Saccharomyces cerevisiae S288C: one gene and its partner. The gene in region 1 interacts genetically with each later gene. Each region holds a gene or a part of one and is shown in the gene's direction. Other genes may lie near its edges. The genes, in order: PRM3 and YLR464W.

Region 1 (7,863 bases):
CTCTGCCAAGAGAATGGCTTTTCATTTCTTTTTCTTCTCTTTAGTTAAATGTTCTTATATCAAAACTTTGTAAAATTGCTTTGTAAACAGATTATTAAGTACCGCTCTATTTACCCCATAACGAAAAGAAGTTCCGCGCTTAGGACACCTTTCCCTAGAGGTTCTTGTTTGATTTGTTTTAGTCATCTGCCTGTCGTTTATTTTAGTTTCGCAGTATTAACAGCGAGCAGTACGAAAAAAGGGTCTTGAAAACGTTGGACAAAATGCCCATTCTACAAGGCGCTTTAAAGAACAGCTCAAAGTAGATTCACATCACTGCAATTCTTGTTTATTGCAATATCTTTTCATGGATTTAAGTTTCACGACTAAAAGTGTCAAAATTAATGGTCAAAACCATCGAATATTACTGCAAAACGAAAACGGACCTTGTGCCTTGTTAGCACTTGCAAATATTCTAATACTTTCACCAGATCATACACGTTTTTCCAATGAGTTAATAAGGTTGGTAAATAAGGGAAGTCAAATATCTTTAAAAGAACTTATTGAAGTCTTAGCAGATATCGCTTTACAAGTTACAGATAAACCTAGTACTGATATAAGTGAGTTACTAAGTTTGTTACCTAGATTACATGAAGGTTTAAATATTAACCCTGAGTTTAATGGGTCTTTTGAAAATACTAAAGAGATGTCAATATTTCGATTGTTTAACGTTGATGTTGTCCATGGCTGGGTTATCAACAGTTTCATAAATGAAAACATTGATGAGAAACTATCTCATTATTCTTATGAATCTGCGCAGAGAATCTTAACACAAGCAGCTGATATAAATTGTGGAATTTCCCAAGATGAAAACTCGGACGAAGTTTTACGTGATGCCATGCATTTGGGTCTGTTTTTGAACGAATCACCGACTCAGTTGACCGCCTTTGGACTCCTACGATTGAGAGAAAAGCTGCTACACAACAAATTCTCCATTTTATTCAGAAATGACCATTTTTCTACATTGTTCAAATACGAAGATCGATTATACACATTGGTTACGGACTTTGGTTATAAAAATTGTAAAGATATTGTATGGCAATCCCTAGATTCGGTGGACGGCTCCTGCGATGCTTTTTTTGCCGGTAACTTTAGTGCAGCAGAGGTAAATGGACAGCAATTGTCAACTGACATTGAACGTGATTTTGGAACTGGAAATTTGCTACTTGAAGAAATTCAGCAAATTGAAAACGATAAAGAACTAGCCAAACAGTTACAGGAACAAGAACAAGAACGTGTTACGAAATTTGAAGCAAAAAGGAAAATCCATTCTCACAAAAAAAACTCAGAAATACACGCACCAGTCAAAAAAGACAAGTTTAAGCGAAGAAGCAGCCTTCTCAATGCAAAAGCTTCTGAAAAAGAGAAAAGTGAGTGCGTTGTTATGTAAGAGCTGTTCACTTGTTTTTATCGTATATCCTCGCGTAAAACATGATTAATCAATCTGTTCGCTTTAAGGAAGATCTCATAAGGACACCGACTCTCTAATTATTCTGGAGATATGTGGACCCCTACAGGCGTGATTTTCTGTCTAAACATTGCCACATAAAACAGGCTTGACATTATATTGGCCATTTGATTTATACTTGTTTCAGATCCTTTGTCGGGCCGGATTCTAAGAGCGCGCGCGAGGCGTCGAAATAAATCAAATAAGAACTAAAATACATAATTCTTGTCACAATGGATTGAATTTCAGTGCATAAGATTACATTTGTCGGAGCTATAATTCCATTACGGCAAAACAGAACTGAAACAAGTATATTGGCTATCTCTAGTATAAATTGTTGTAAAACTGACATCATATGGAACCAAAGTAGTAGACTCGCATTTGCAAACATATTTAAAATACTTGGAATAGATTTCACCAGCCTCAAGATAAATTTATAAACACATTAAATAACTAATAAATATATAAATACTTCTCCAAAAAATGACAGCAATGAAAGAAGACAACGCTGCATTGATTACACTGAAGAAAAACAACGACCAAGAAAAACTTAGAGTGCATAAACTGACAGATGCAAGTTCAAACTCTGCTGATGGGTTCGTTATAAATAAAGCCAAAAACGGTGGACCGCTTAATAAAAAGTCATTAGTTAATAATGAACAACACATTAAGAAGGCTGTGTCGCCTGGTAGAGTCAGGAAGCACAAAACGACAACATCTTCCACAAAATCACGAACGAAAAGTAAGAAAAAAGACGCTTCTGAAAGTAAAGTACAGAGAGAGAATAAGGGTTCATTTTACCAAGGTGCCATTTTCGGTTCGTTCCTTGGTGCTGCTGTAACTACTGTTTTAAGTAACCTAGCAGTTAAAGCTCTTCAAAATTAGTTTCATATACTCATGATTTCTAAACAGTAATTAGTTTTATCTGACTTATTTTTTTTTACGCACCTTTGCATGTACTCTTCCATGTATATCAATATTTGCTATTCTATTACTTATTTCTAGTAAAGTTGGCTCTACTCAGATTAGGTTTCCTGTTTTTGTAATTTGGTTTGTAATGATTTTTATTATTATCTTCAGAGCTCCCAAAAAGTACATCTTTTTCTTGTTGAGATAGCTCATATTCAAGTAATCCTACATCTCCCAATTCTCTTATAAAGTCCAAAAGTTGGGAGTTTTCGTTTGCGAATTCTCGCTGTATCAATTTCAAGTTCAAGTCAATCTTCGGATTTCCTCTCTGCACTTGATTTTGAATACTCTGTATAAATTGCTTTTCTTTCCTTGACTCTTTGAAAATGCTAGGTTGGCTCTTCAGTTCATCTTCCTTTATGCCCATTTCTTGCATATGTTTCTGTTTGTTATTGGATATTTTCAGTAGCCACATTTTTTTTCTTTCTTCTCTCCACTTTTTAACATCTTCATCAGTAATCAATGCTATGGAGGTTCCAGGAACCAAAACCACCTTACCCAACCCCTCTGATTCTAACTGCTCATCACGATCATCATCTTCTAGCCCTAAGTTATTATGATCATCTTCGGCATTAGAATTTGCCAGCTCGGGATCCTTTCTTGGGATTTCTGTAGGCTCCGCAGATGCTTGATCCTTGCTTGATGGTACTGGACTTATTTCATTCATAAACGTATCTTTCCCTCTGTTTTTCTCAATCAATTGTATTTCCTTTACGGTCGGTATTGCAACATCTTCATAACTAATTGATGTTTGGTAATCTTTATCATTCTTTAAGGCTTGAGTGTTTTCACAATATGATGATGGCCACTTCTGTAAATTAAGCGCTGGTGCATAAGATATATTCTGATGAACTGGCGGTATGTAATTTTCTGTATAATTGGGAGGACTCGTATAATTGTACTGAGTGGACGGTTGTATTGGATGGAAATATTGATTATGAGGGGCTACATGATGAAGTTGAGGAGTATAACCGGTATTCCATGAACCTTCATAATACGGAGAGTTCGGATACATATGAGGTGAGTAAGCTGCATTAAAAGCAGAGTCTGTTTTTTGCCTTTTAATTTTCGATTCATCATAGCCATCTGATAGCGTTCCGGAGTATGTAGGTTTGGGAAGCCTAGAATGTCCATCACCCTTCGAATTTTCAAAGTTATTATAATTCATAGTCCATGTCGCAATAAGCTAATCAAAATGGAAAAAGAGATTGACTTATGAGTTAAATATAATAGCATCAATGAAATTTTTAAGTTCCTATTAAGTAAAAAGCTATGCAATATAGAGATATTATGCTATTGAAAATTTTAGTTTGTTCCCCGACCGTGATGGACCATCAGCCGCACGCTCACCAAATTGAGACAGAAAAAAAAAAAAAAACAGCGATCGATATTATCATGATAATTGCTACTTCATCTAATATTTACACGCCTTTATACTGATTTTGCATTATGGTTTTAGTCAAATATACCCCTTGGCTTTTCTACTTGTGTTAGACCCAGCCCATCTTCCATCTCTTTATTGTCCTGTTTCTTGTGATTACTTGTGTCATTCTGGGAATTCAACAGACCTTGCATATGCTTCAATTTTTCTTTCTTGAGCATTCCTTTTCTATCGATATTGCTGCATGAAACCTCATCATCTGCAGCTGGTAACGCTTTTCCCCATGTCACAGTGGTGTCTGCCCTTTTTGCAAATGTAGATTGTTGGGTGGGGTCTTCAGTTTCATTACAAATATCTGCTATGGATCTTTTTAAAGAATTGCTCTCATTACGTGGACAGGCCACTTCATGAGTCGTACCAATGTCAAAACTTTGTTCCCGATTCATGTTCATATGAACTGAACTAGCCTGCCGGAACCGCTTATCTTGTTCGTAATTCGTACTTTGGCTTTGTTCTTCCACGAATAATTTTCTTGCCGTGTTATTTCTATAGGTCTTAGCAACTGTGCTTCCATTATCAGGGGTCAGATACGACACTTTCAAAGGACTGTTTCGAGTTCCAGCCACAGAGTGTGGCAGGTTTTCTCTCTTTAAAGCAGTTTTGCTTTTTAATGGACTTTCGCAGCTTTCTTTGTTGTCTTTCAGTCCGGCCTCTTCTTTGGAGCCAGAGATTGCTGTTTTTATGAATTTTCCTTCTAAAATATCATCGTTAATGTTACTGTCAGTAACTTCAACCAATTCTAATTTTACGCCCGGTTTTTGCATTTGCATAAGAATAGGGTCCCCTGGGTGGCAAAACCATAAACTTATATTATCATTTCCGTCCTGGGTAGTCTTCCAGGATGGACCTATCGTTATGAAGTTTTTGAAGTCCTTCAATTTGAATATTATACTTTTCATATGCTCTCTACGCTTACTATGTGATCGCTTATCTTGTTTTTCATCTTCGATTGTTGTAAATAAGCAATAATGCTCAAGATCGAGCGTACTGATAGTGTTACTCATGCTTAACGCATTTCTTAAAAGGTCGTTATTTTTGCCGTAGACGGCCTTGGTGAATGCAGTTATGCTTAGCCTATGTACGTTAATTTCCAATTTTACTTCATCGGTTACATTAACATTGCAGTTGTCTAAAAAATTCTTCAATAAAGTTGAATTACAACAAATGTAATTAATCTCATCAGCAGCCGTTAACTGATTCCTTTTACGTATGTCTGATTCCACTTCTTCGTTAAATAAGGCTGATGTTAGCTCACGCTCTGTATTTGTAAAAACGTCCAATAGCTTAGGGTCCAAGGGCTCCTGTGGATTCCGATCGGAGGCAGCAGTTCCAAAAACATCCAAAAACCTCCTTTTGTACTTAAGGTTGATTATTATGGGATCGTATTTTATTGGCTGGAATTGGGGACAGTATTCTTTGACTATTAACGAATCCATTTCAATCACCACAATCAATCTATTTGCAAGTGATTCAGGACAGGTAGAAGTGTTGTTTACCGCAATTGTGAATGATTTGATGCCATCACCATCCGGCTTTCTTGATATAGTTGTTAGGTGTCTTCCATTAACACGGAAGGAGTATAACTTATGACTATTGCCGTACGTATCTTCTATAACTTGAACCCCATTTTCTCCAAATACAATCTCATGTGGTTTAAACTCATACTCCTCAAAAAAGCTTTTCTGAAACCTAACCTGACAAAGAGTAGTATCTGTCTCGTTCATTGACCAAGCAATTAACTCATTTGTTGTCACTGTAATCTTGATATCATCCTGAATTGTAGATAACACATATATCGCACGAAACCAGATATTCTGCTTCCCCGACTCGGTGATAGTTGCCTTAAATGACATATATGTCTAAGCAAAGTTATGCTGTGTTATTGTTACACTAGCAATAGTATGTCAAATAATTTTGCAAATCATCTCTGGTCTATGATTACCTTTGGCGGCCTTTGATTCATTCGCGTCATTATTAAATATGCCGTCTCTTTCGGCAAATTGAGTGCACCGCAATAATATACTATGCAGAATAAAATACTTAAATTAATTATAGTTTACGTACGTAATCGCTGTCATTGAGAATTCACGACTTCGATTTTTTTATCGTTAAATGTCAGTGCTTTGGTCTCGAAGAAATTCATTTGGTTCTGGAGAATTTTTTGCTTTCGTTTTTAGTTTGTTTTTTGACTTTGACTTTTTCCCTTTCTTCTTCTTTTTTATAACTATAACTTCTTCAGTATCACTTAAATTATCCTTTTCATCTTTTACAATAAGATTGGCCTCTAAACGACTTAATTCTAACTCGTCTTCCTTTCTAAGGTTGCCCTCTTCCTGCGATCCTCTTCCTGCGTTACTCGATTGCCCAAAATTGGAAAAATCAAAATTTTCAAGTTGAGAGTGCATTCTCAGATTAATCTTGTCCTTTTTCAAAGGATTTTGAGTTGAATGATTATCATGGGGTTTCTGGAATGCATCTTTCCTTTTGGGAGCGGCTTCGATAACAGGTTCATCGGATAAGACTTGAACCCTATTTTTCTTCTTTCCCTTCTTCTTCTTTCTGCTGATTTCAGTTGTAGATAAACTTAGAGAATTCAACGAATTATCGGTTCTATTTAATCTAATAGTTTCTGGCTTTTTATCACTACTTTCCTCCTCATTCAAGTCCAACAAATCTTTAGAGTTCTTAGTTCTTTCTTCGTCTTCTTCACCTAGATAATAAGGATTTGACATCCGTTCCTTTTCTCTCTCAATCTCAAATGGATTTTCAAAATCATCCAATTTTTCCTTTTCTTCATACGAAGTATCAGAATCATCAACGAATTTTAGTTCAACTTGCTCGTCCATTGAGATATCAGACATTAAATCACTGATGGCGTCACTTTTTTGTTCATCTAAGAGTTCATCAGCTGCCTCCTTTGTCAAAAATGGAGTTTCTAGATCAAGATTCTCATCTACTGCTAACTTCAATTGAGTCCCACGCGCAATTGGTGCGAGTTCATAGGCGTTAAAAAAACTAGGCAGGACTTCGCTCAGTAGCATTGGTAGACCTTCCGTATCCTCCTCTAAAGCCTCCAAACTTAGTCTTAAAAATTCTAAAACTTCTACGCTTCTTTCCTGGACTTCGAATGTACTCGAATAAGATAAATTTTCAAAAAATTCAATTAGCTCTTTTAACACCATTTTAATTTCAAAGCGTTTATCCTCCTGAAAGTTATTACACCAATTACTAAATACTTTAACAAGTGCTAAAATTAAAACTTCTTGTACACTATGAGAATAATAACTGATATTCTCAGTCATGATTTTTATTAAGTCGTTACCATTTTCAACTAGGGTAGAAAATTCTCCGAGACACCAAATGCATTCTCTCAATACGGTAGGCAACTGTTTGTTAATATTGTCATTTGAAATAAGCTTTATAATATTAGCAATGGTTACTTCTCTCATTGAAGGAACTTTTATCATCAAATTCCTAAACTGTTCACCAATTTTTGATCCAAGGCTTTTATCAGATATGTCTTGACAGAGCATCGCCAAGTCCATTATTACTGCATTGTACCATTCAAAGTCGTTAACACTGGAATAGTTGTCAGCTGAACAAATCGATATAATGACGTTCACCATTTTTATCTTGTAATTTTCTGGAATTATTATGGGAATTCTCTTTGATTTTTCGTATACGATGCTTCCAGTTTGTAGGATAACCACATCTTCATCTACAAATTGCTTCATCAATGTTTGGACAATTGCCTTTAAGTTATCCTCATCAACAATACCTTCAACCAATTCAATTGCTTTTGATCTTATAGAAACGTCGACATCGGAGAGTAAGCGTATAATCAGTTGGTCGAACCGAGAAATAAAATCAGTATTGATTTTGCCGATCTTGTAAAACAATATGCAGCTAATATATCTCAAATTTGGATCCTGAGAATCACAAAATGTGTGCAATCTTTCCAGGCATG
Region 2 (9,413 bases), on another chromosome or scaffold:
TCTGCTTGAAGGAGGATAAAAATGCCAAGATCAAGTCTTTTAAAGATTCTATCCCTTTTCATCGAAGAAGCACTACAAGTTTATTTTACAGAAGTTGACAAACTGTGGAACTTGATCCATACTGAATAAGTATGGAAAACTGTTAACTTAGAGGATGCTCTGCTTTCTAAAGAAGTTTCACAGCTTTAGACTCACATGGGTTCTCATGAGTATTGCTAGCTAGTGCGAGTTTGATCTATACTTCACAGACTTTTAACACCCCGTTCCTTAAGTTTTCCCTGATTATCAAGGGTATTTCCAATTCTTACTCCCCACTATCGCTCCTTTCTTATCTGAATTGTATTTTTGAGTGGCCTAATTGTAATCTTTTATTTTGTTTTCTAATTATTGAAGGCGGTTTCTCGAAGCATTTCACGATTTCCAAAATTCAAGAATTGAAATTATGAACATAGAAGACAAAATACTTTTTTTATCAACTATTAATACACCTTTCCTAGAGAACATTTTTAAAATAAAATAAAATAAAGTAGCGCTCTCTACTACCCTTACACTTTTCTCCTTCATATCTGGCTAGAAAAGAGGGATTACATCTCGGAATCAAATATTTCCCTCTGTGCAAAGTTTTAATACTGCTACTACGAACTGGTTACAATTTTATTTTTATCATACACGATACTTTGAACATCAACTTCTCTCAATACCATCCGCCTTCAGCGGCTACAATTACGTAATTGCACCAAGGCATTCGCCGAGAGTTCACAAATTGCAGACCCTAACAGTATACGACTCCCAACACACGTTTAATGTTGTACGAATTCAAGAGATAGAAATGCTTCTTCCGCGGAAGCCGTTTAAAGCACTGAAATTAGGCTTAGACAATAGACTTCTGTACGAGGGTCCAAATCTAAAATTCAGATATTCTTTTTGACCGAAAACGGAAATCACAGGCGCGCAAAAGGGTTTTTCAAGGTACCCCGGCATCCCTATAATAGGCATTCCCACATTCTGCGCATACGAATACACATGAGTGCCATAAAACAATACTCCACATACGAAGTCTATGAAAGATGTATGATTCGTTCAGAAACAAGAGCATTTCCATACTGATAATGAGATTGTGTGAAAGATGAGATATGGAGGATATGTGAGGTGCTAAATGAGCGTCTGTTAACGAATCGTTTAAATAGTGATGACTGATGAAGGCATGGGTATAAATAGAGCTGCTTCAACTGTATGCCTTTGAGAATATGTCTTTATTCCTTTCTTTCCTGTTAAGCTTATATCAGCACTAACAAACAAAACAAATACAATGGTCAAATTAACTTCAATCGCCGCTGGTGTCGCTGCCATCGCTGCTACTGCTTCCGCAACCACCACTATAGCTCAATCTGACGAAAGAGTCAACTTGGTTGAATTGGGTGTCTACGTCTCTGATATCAGAGCTCACTTGGCCCAATACTACATGTTCCAAGCCGCCCACCCAACTGAAACCTACCCAGTTGAAGTTGCTGAAGCCGTTTTCAACTACGGTGACTTCACCACCATGTTGACTGGTATTGCCCCAGACCAAGTGACCAGAATGATCACCGGTGTTCCATGGTACTCCAGCAGATTAAAGCCAGCTATCTCCAAGGCTCTATCCAAAGATGGTATCTACACTATCGCAAACTAGGGACGAGTGCCTCTACGAATGAAAATTCATAGACAGTAAAAAGTAATGAAAAATAAAATAAAAACTACTTTTTTTTGATGATATAAATACCGTAGATTATATAAATGTATATTAATATTATAAACCTATTTGATCAATGACAGTGTTCGTGAAGCATTTTATGAATACGATAAACATAAAAAGAAACTTTTACACTATTCTAGAAAAAGGGTGGATGGTAATAAAGCTAATAGAGTATGTCCAATAAACAATAATGAAATTGGAAGCGCATGACTTCTCAGCACTTTGTCTTTCCATAAAAATGAGTCGCTGCTTCTTTTTTCATTTTTTGGCGCGTCGCGTCGGGCCGTATAGAATATGCGTCACTTCTAAGAACAAGATTGCAGATCAGGGCAGTGCGAGTTACGGAGTCATGGTATCAAACTCTCATTTAGAGACCCTCATTTTTTGACACTGAAAATATCAAAATTTCTGGGTTGCGATAGTTTTTGTGTAACCGTAACCAGAAATAAAGCTGAAGGGTTAGTGTTCTATCAACAATAAGATAGAGGGTGGTAAGATGAAGTGAGACAATATCGTAACGTCCGTTTCAGTATACGCCGCTGATAAGTTATATTACCGTAAAATTATTTGACATTTCGTTATAGATCCTATTAAATAACGTACCTATCACAGTATCGTCTTGTTCAGATATAGTCTCTTCGTATGAGTAGTGTCACATACAAGATTAAAGATGCATCAGTTATGCTTTTAGGATATTGCGGATAGCATATGGGAATGGAAATAGGATACAATTTTATCATAGCACCCGCATGAGTGTCAACACAGTACCATATTATAGCACAGTGAATGGAGAGTGTTACGACAGTGAGGTAGCATATTATTCTAATGTATGGTCTGCATAAGTACGAAATATTCTGAAATGGCATCCGTTCAAGCAAACTGCAATATTAAGGAACTTTTACGTTAATGACGTCATGGTAGTGTTCATACTCCAAGTCAATATGTTTTTGTATTATTGTTGAAGAATAGAATATTTTTATGTTTAGGTGATTTTAGTGGTGATTTTTCTGTAATATTGGCATAAGTGTATTTAAATTGAGTGGTTAGTATATGGTGCAAAAGTAATATAACGTATGTATTAAGAGCATTTTTACAATATTCGAGGCCACTGAATGAGATATAGATATTAAAATGTGGATAATCATGGGATTTATGGGTAAATGGCACAGAGTATAGACCGCTGAGGCAAGTGCCGTGCATAATGATGTGAGTGCATTTGGCACTGATTTAGTGAGAGATGGGCCATGGAGTGGAGTGGAATATGAGAGTAGGGTAAGTTGAGATGGTATATACTGTAGTATCCGTGTGCGTATGACATATCAGTATACAAGTGAAGGTGAGTGTGGCAAGTGGTGGTGATGGTATAGAGTGATAGGGTAAGTATATGTGTATTGTTTACGATCATTTGTTAACGTTTCAATATGGTGGGTAGAACAACAGTATGGTGAGTAGTAGATGGGAGATGGTAGAGGAATGGCAGGGTAAGTGGTGGCGGAGTTGGATATGGGTAATTGGAGGGTAACGGTTATGGTGGACGGTGGGTTGGTGGTAGGAAGTAGAGAGGTGGATGGTAGTTGGGAGTGGTATAGTTGAATGAGACAGGGTAACGAGTGGGGAGTAGGGTAATGGAGGGTAAGTTGAGAGACAGGTTGATCAGGGTTAGAGTAGGGTAGTGTTAGGGTTAGGTGTGTGTGTGTGTGTGGGTGTGGTGTGTGGGTGTGTGGGTGTGGTGTGGTGTGTGTGTGTGTGGTGTGTGGGTGTGGTGGGTGTGGTGTGGGTGTGGGTGTGGGTGTGGGTGTGGGTGTGGTGTGTATATCTATGTCACCTTATTGCATGCTGGATGGTGTTAGACAAGGCCGTAGGGACATATAGCATCTAGGAAGTAACCTTGTACGAAAATAGGCAATATTTCCTGTTTGACGCAGATTTTAGCCCAAAGATCTAGCGTCAAGGAATTTTTTTATAGTGGGACATTGCAAACCAAGGAAGTAACTTGATACGTCGTTGGTGAATGGGTCTGTTTTCTTATTCGGCGGGGTAATACATTTTTGGGGGAAGTTTGTCTGTCTGACGCGCCATATGTAGGTACGCCAAAAAGGGCTCCTCTACTTCGAAGCGCGAGGTCGTATACCTAATAAGGAAATGTAATTTATAACTTTTTATTATATTGGTCTTTTCGAGAGCGGAACGTAGGTCCATGTTTAAAGTATCCAAGAGAATATCCACGAAGCGGCTGAGCAACGAACAGAATCCTGGTTCTCCTCGACTAAGCAGATAGTTAAGATACTGTGCACCATGGAAATTGAAAACGAAAGTACGTACCGACTACTTTATTTTTGCAGGCCGGAAATCAAGCGATGAATGAGACATCCTTCTGTTTTCTATGTTGTGCTTGAAGGGGACAGACAGTCGCTTATCTTAGTGAGATTTTGTTTGCTTTTGCTGCACCTGCATAGCGCAGATTCTGCATCTTCTCAATAGCTTAATTATTACATTCTTAGATGATGATAAGACGAAAACTGGACAATCTTTTGTTTATATTGATGGATTTCTTGTCAAAAAGCATAAAAATCAACATACTATTGTTAATTTCGAAACTTACAAAAATAAAATGAAAGTTTCCGATAGGCGTAAGTTTGAAAAAGCAAACTTTGACGAGTTTGAGTCGGCTCTAAATAACAAAAACGACTTGGTACATTGTCCCTCAATAACTTTATTTGAATCGATCCCCACGGAAGTGCGGTCATTCTACGAAGACGAAAAGTCTGGCCTAATCAAAGTGGTAAAATTCAGAACTGGTGCAATGGATAGGAAAAGGTCTTTTGAAAAAGTTGTCATTTCCGTCATGGTCGGGAAAAATGTAAAAAAGTTCCTGACGTTTGTTGAAGACGAACCAGATTTCCAGGGCGGACCAATCCCTTCAAAGTATCTTGTTCCCAAGAAAATCAACTTGATGGTCTACACGTTGTTTCAAGTGCATACTTTGAAATTCAATAGAAAGGATTACGATACCCTTTCTCTTTTTTACCTCAACAGAGGATACTATAATGAGTTGAGTTTCCGTGTCCTGGAACGTTGTCACGAAATAGCGAGTGCTAGGCCGAACGACAGCTCTACGATGCGTACTTTCACTGACTTTGTTTCCGGCGCACCTATTGTAAGGAGTCTTCAGAAAAGCACCATAAGGAAATATGGGTACAATTTGGCAGCCTACACGTAGATGAGCTATGCAAGCAAGTTTACCTGGCGAAAAGAAAGTCGACACAGAGCGGCTGAAGCGTGATCTATGCCCACGTAAACCCATTGAGATAAAGTACTTTTCACAGATATGTAACGATATGATGAACAAAAAGGACCGATTGGGTGATATTTTGCATATTATCTTGCGAGCATGTGCACTCAATTTCGGGGCGGGTCCCCGTGGTGGCGCTGGTGACGAAGAGGATCGATCTATTACGAATGAAGAACCCATTATTCCCTCTGTGGACGAGCATGGCCTGAAAGTATGTAAGTTGCGCAGTCCTAACACTCCACGAAGACTCAGAAAAACACTAGATGCCGTGAAAGCTTTATTGGTGTCGTCTTGTGCTTGTACCGCAAGGGATTTAGATATATTTGATGACAACAACGGCGTTGCAATGTGGAAATGGATCAAAATTCTGTACCACGAAGTAGCGCAGGAAACCACGCTGAAGGACTCTTATAGAATAACTTTGGTACCTTCTTCTGATGGTATATCAGTATGTGGAAAACTTTGGGGAGAGTTGAACAACTGCTTCCATATGCCAGCCTCATTTTGCGTAATCGAGAAGTTTTGTTCAGAGAACCGAAGCGAGGAATTGACGAGTATCTGGAAAACGATTCTTTTTTTCAAATGATACCTGTTAAATATCGTGAAATTGTGCTGCCCAAGTTGAGAAGAGATACTAACAAAATGACCGCGGCTCTTAAAAATAAAGTCGCTGTTGCAATTGACGAGCTTACGGTGCCACTTATGTGGATGATCCATTTTGCCGTAGGATACCCTTACCGTTATCCAGAGCTTCAGCTACTCGCTTTTGCCGGTCCTCAGCGCAACGTATACGTCGATGATACAACAAGACGCATCCAACTGTACACTGATTACAACAAGAACGGTTCATCGGAGCCTCGACTAAAGACGCTTGACGGACTCACTTCAGATTACGTGTTTTATTTTGTCACTGTGCTAAGGCAAATGCAAATATGTGCGCTTGGTAACAGTTATGACGCTTTTAATCATGATCCTTGGATGGATGTGGTGGGATTTGAGGATCCAGATCAAGTAACAAATCGAGACATTTCGAGGATAGTTTTGTATTCCTACATGTTTCTGAATACCGCGAAGGGCTGTCTGGTTGAATACGCAACTTTTCGGCAGTACATGAGGGAACTTCCGAAGAATGCACCTCAGAAGCTGAATTTTCGGGAGATGCGTCAGGGGTTGATTGCCCTAGGACGGCACTGCGTAGGTAGCAGATTTGAAACAGATTTGTACGAGTCGGCGACGAGTGAACTCATGGCCAATCATTCCGTTCAAACAGGGCGAAATATTTACGGTGTGGATTCCTTTTCGTTAACTAGTGTCAGTGGGACGACCGCCACTTTATTGCAGGAACGAGCTTCCGAGCGCTGGATTCAATGGTTAGGCCTTGAAAGCGACTACCATTGTTCATTCTCTAGTACTCGGAATGCGGAAGACGTAGTGGCAGGTGAGGCGGCGAGTTCAGATCATCATCAAAAAATTTCAAGAGTAACGCGAAAAAGGCCCCGAGAGCCCAAGAGTACAAACGATATCCTCGTCGCAGGCCGGAAACTCTTTGGCAGCTCCTTTGAATTCAGGGACTTGCATCAGTTGCGCTTATGTCATGAAATATACATGGCAGACACACCCTCTGTGGCAGTACAGGCCCCACCGGGCTATGGTAAGACGGAGTTATTTCATCTCCCCTTGATAGCACTGGCGTCTAAGGGCGACGTGAAATATGTGTCGTTTCTGTTTGTACCGTACACAGTGTTGCTTGCTAATTGCATGATCAGGTTGAGCCGATGCGGTTGCTTGAATGTGGCCCCTGTAAGAAACTTTATTGAAGAAGGTTGCGATGGCGTTACTGATTTATACGTGGGGATCTACGATGATCTTGCTAGCACTAATTTCACAGACAGGATAGCTGCGTGGGAGAATATTGTTGAGTGCACCTTTAGGACCAACAACGTAAAATTGGGTTACCTCATTGTAGATGAGTTTCACAACTTTGAAACGGAGGTCTACCGGCAGTCGCAATTTGGGGGCATAACTAACCTTGATTTTGACGCTTTTGAGAAAGCAATCTTTTTGAGCGGCACAGCACCTGAGGCTGTAGCTGATGCTGCGTTGCAGCGTATTGGGCTTACGGGACTGGCCAAGAAGTCGATGGACATCAACGAGCTCAAACGGTCGGAAGATCTCAGCAGAGGTCTATCCAGCTATCCAACACGGATGTTTAATCTAATCAAGGAGAAATCCGAGGTGCCTTTAGGGCATGTTCATAAAATTTGGAAGAAAGTGGAATCACAGCCCGAAGAAGCACTGAAGCTTCTTTTAGCCCTCTTTGAAATTGAACCAGAGTCGAAGGCCATTGTAGTTGCAAGCACAACCAACGAAGTGGAAGAATTGGCCTGCTCTTGGAGAAAGTATTTTAGGGTGGTATGGATACACGGGAAGCTGGGTGCTGCAGAAAAGGTGTCTCGCACAAAGGAGTTTGTCACTGACGGTAGCATGCGAGTTCTCATCGGAACGAAATTAGTGACTGAAGGAATTGACATTAAGCAATTGATGATGGTGATCATGCTTGATAATAGACTTAATATTATTGAGCTCATTCAAGGCGTAGGGAGACTAAGAGATGGGGGCCTCTGTTATCTATTATCTAGAAAAAACAGTTGGGCGGCAAGGAATCGTAAGGGTGAATTACCACCGATTAAGGAAGGCTGTATAACCGAACAGGTACGCGAGTTCTATGGACTTGAATCAAAGAAAGGAAAAAAGGGCCAGCATGTTGGATGCTGTGGCTCCAGGACAGACCTGTCTGCTGACACAGTGGAACTGATAGAAAGAATGGACAGATTGGCTGAAAAACAGGCGACAGCTTCCATGTCGATCATTGCGTTACCGTCTAGCTTCCAGGAGAGCAATAGCAGTGACAGGTGCAGAAAGTATTGCAGCAGTGATGAGGACAGCGACACGTGCATTCATGGTAGTGCTAATGCCAGTACCAATGCGACTACCAACTCCAGCACTAATGCTACTACCACTGCCAGCACCAACGTCAGGACTAGTGCTACTACCACTGCCAGCATCAACGTCAGGACTAGTGCGATTACCACTGAAAGTACCAACTCCAGCACTAATGCTACTACCACTGCCAGCACCAACGTCAGGACTAGTGCTACTACCACTGCCAGCATCAACGTCAGGACTAGTGCGACTACCACTGAAAGTACCAACTCCAACACTAGTGCTACTACCACCGAAAGTACCGACTCCAACACTAGTGCTACTACCACCGAAAGTACCGACTCCAACACTAGTGCTACTACCACTGCTAGCACCAACTCCAGCACTAATGCCACTACCACTGCTAGCACCAACTCCAGCACTAATGCCACTACCACTGAAAGTACCAACGCTAGTGCCAAGGAGGACGCCAATAAAGATGGCAATGCTGAGGATAATAGATTCCATCCAGTCACCGACATTAACAAAGAGTCGTATAAGCGGAAAGGGAGTCAAATGGTTTTGCTAGAGAGAAAGAAACTGAAAGCACAATTTCCCAATACTTCCGAGAATATGAATGTCTTACAGTTTCTTGGATTTCGGTCTGACGAAATTAAACATCTTTTCCTCTATGGTATTGACGTATACTTCTGCCCAGAGGGAGTATTCACACAATACGGATTATGCAAGGGCTGTCAAAAGATGTTCGAGCTCTGTGTCTGTTGGGCTGGCCAGAAAGTATCGTATCGGAGGATGGCTTGGGAAGCACTAGCTGTGGAGAGAATGCTGCGAAATGACGAGGAATACAAAGAATACTTGGAAGACATCGAGCCATATCATGGGGACCCTGTAGGATATTTGAAATATTTTAGCGTAAAAAGGGGAGAGATCTACTCTCAGATACAGAGAAATTATGCTTGGTACCTGGCCATTACTAGAAGAAGAGAAACAATTAGTGTATTGGATTCGACAAGAGGCAAGCAAGGGAGCCAAGTTTTCCGCATGTCTGGAAGGCAGATCAAAGAGTTGTATTATAAAGTATGGAGCAACTTGCGTGAATCGAAGACAGAGGTGCTGCAGTACTTTTTGAACTGGGACGAGAAAAAGTGCCGGGAAGAATGGGAGGCAAAAGACGATACGGTCTTTGTGGAAGCGCTCGAGAAAGTTGGAGTTTTTCAGCGTTTGCGTTCCATGACGAGCGCTGGACTGCAGGGTCCGCAGTACGTCAAGCTGCAGTTTAGCAGGCATCATCGACAGTTGAGGAGCAGATATGAATTAAGTCTAGGAATGCACTTGCGAGATCAGCTTGCGCTGGGAGTTACCCCATCTAAAGTGCCGCATTGGACGGCATTCCTGTCGATGCTGATAGGGCTGTTCTACAATAAAACATTTCGGCAGAAACTG

What was found.
Region 2: mutations in PRM3 (region 1) and YLR464W together harm fitness more than expected from each alone (negative genetic interaction), as found in Saccharomyces cerevisiae (one large-scale study listed by BioGRID).

Annotation. Positions count from the first base shown.
Region 1 is NC_001148.4:177,163-185,025, reverse strand, and holds PRM3 (pheromone-regulated protein PRM3), read left to right. Parts: upstream 1-1,969; coding exon 1,970-2,371; downstream 2,372-7,863. Other genes in the region: MIY2 (ubiquitinyl hydrolase 1), read left to right, coding at 347-1,429; RSA1 (Rsa1p), read right to left, coding at 2,478-3,623; DDC1 (Ddc1p), read right to left, coding at 3,911-5,749; APL5 (Apl5p), read right to left, coding at 6,005-7,863. UniProt on the Saccharomyces cerevisiae protein: Required for the fusion of nuclear envelopes during mating, ensuring proper karyogamy. Plays a role in the initiation of outer nuclear envelope fusion.
Region 2 is NC_001144.5:1,061,610-1,071,022, forward strand, and holds YLR464W (uncharacterized protein), read left to right. Parts: upstream 1-4,962; coding exon 4,963-5,475; intron 5,476-5,477; coding exon of another isoform or gene 5,478-5,754; coding exon 5,755-5,892; downstream 5,893-9,413. Other genes in the region: seripauperin PAU4, read left to right, coding at 1,310-1,672; YLR462W (uncharacterized protein), read left to right, coding at 4,347-4,955; YRF1-4 (Y' element ATP-dependent helicase protein 1 copy 4), read left to right, coding at 5,478-9,413.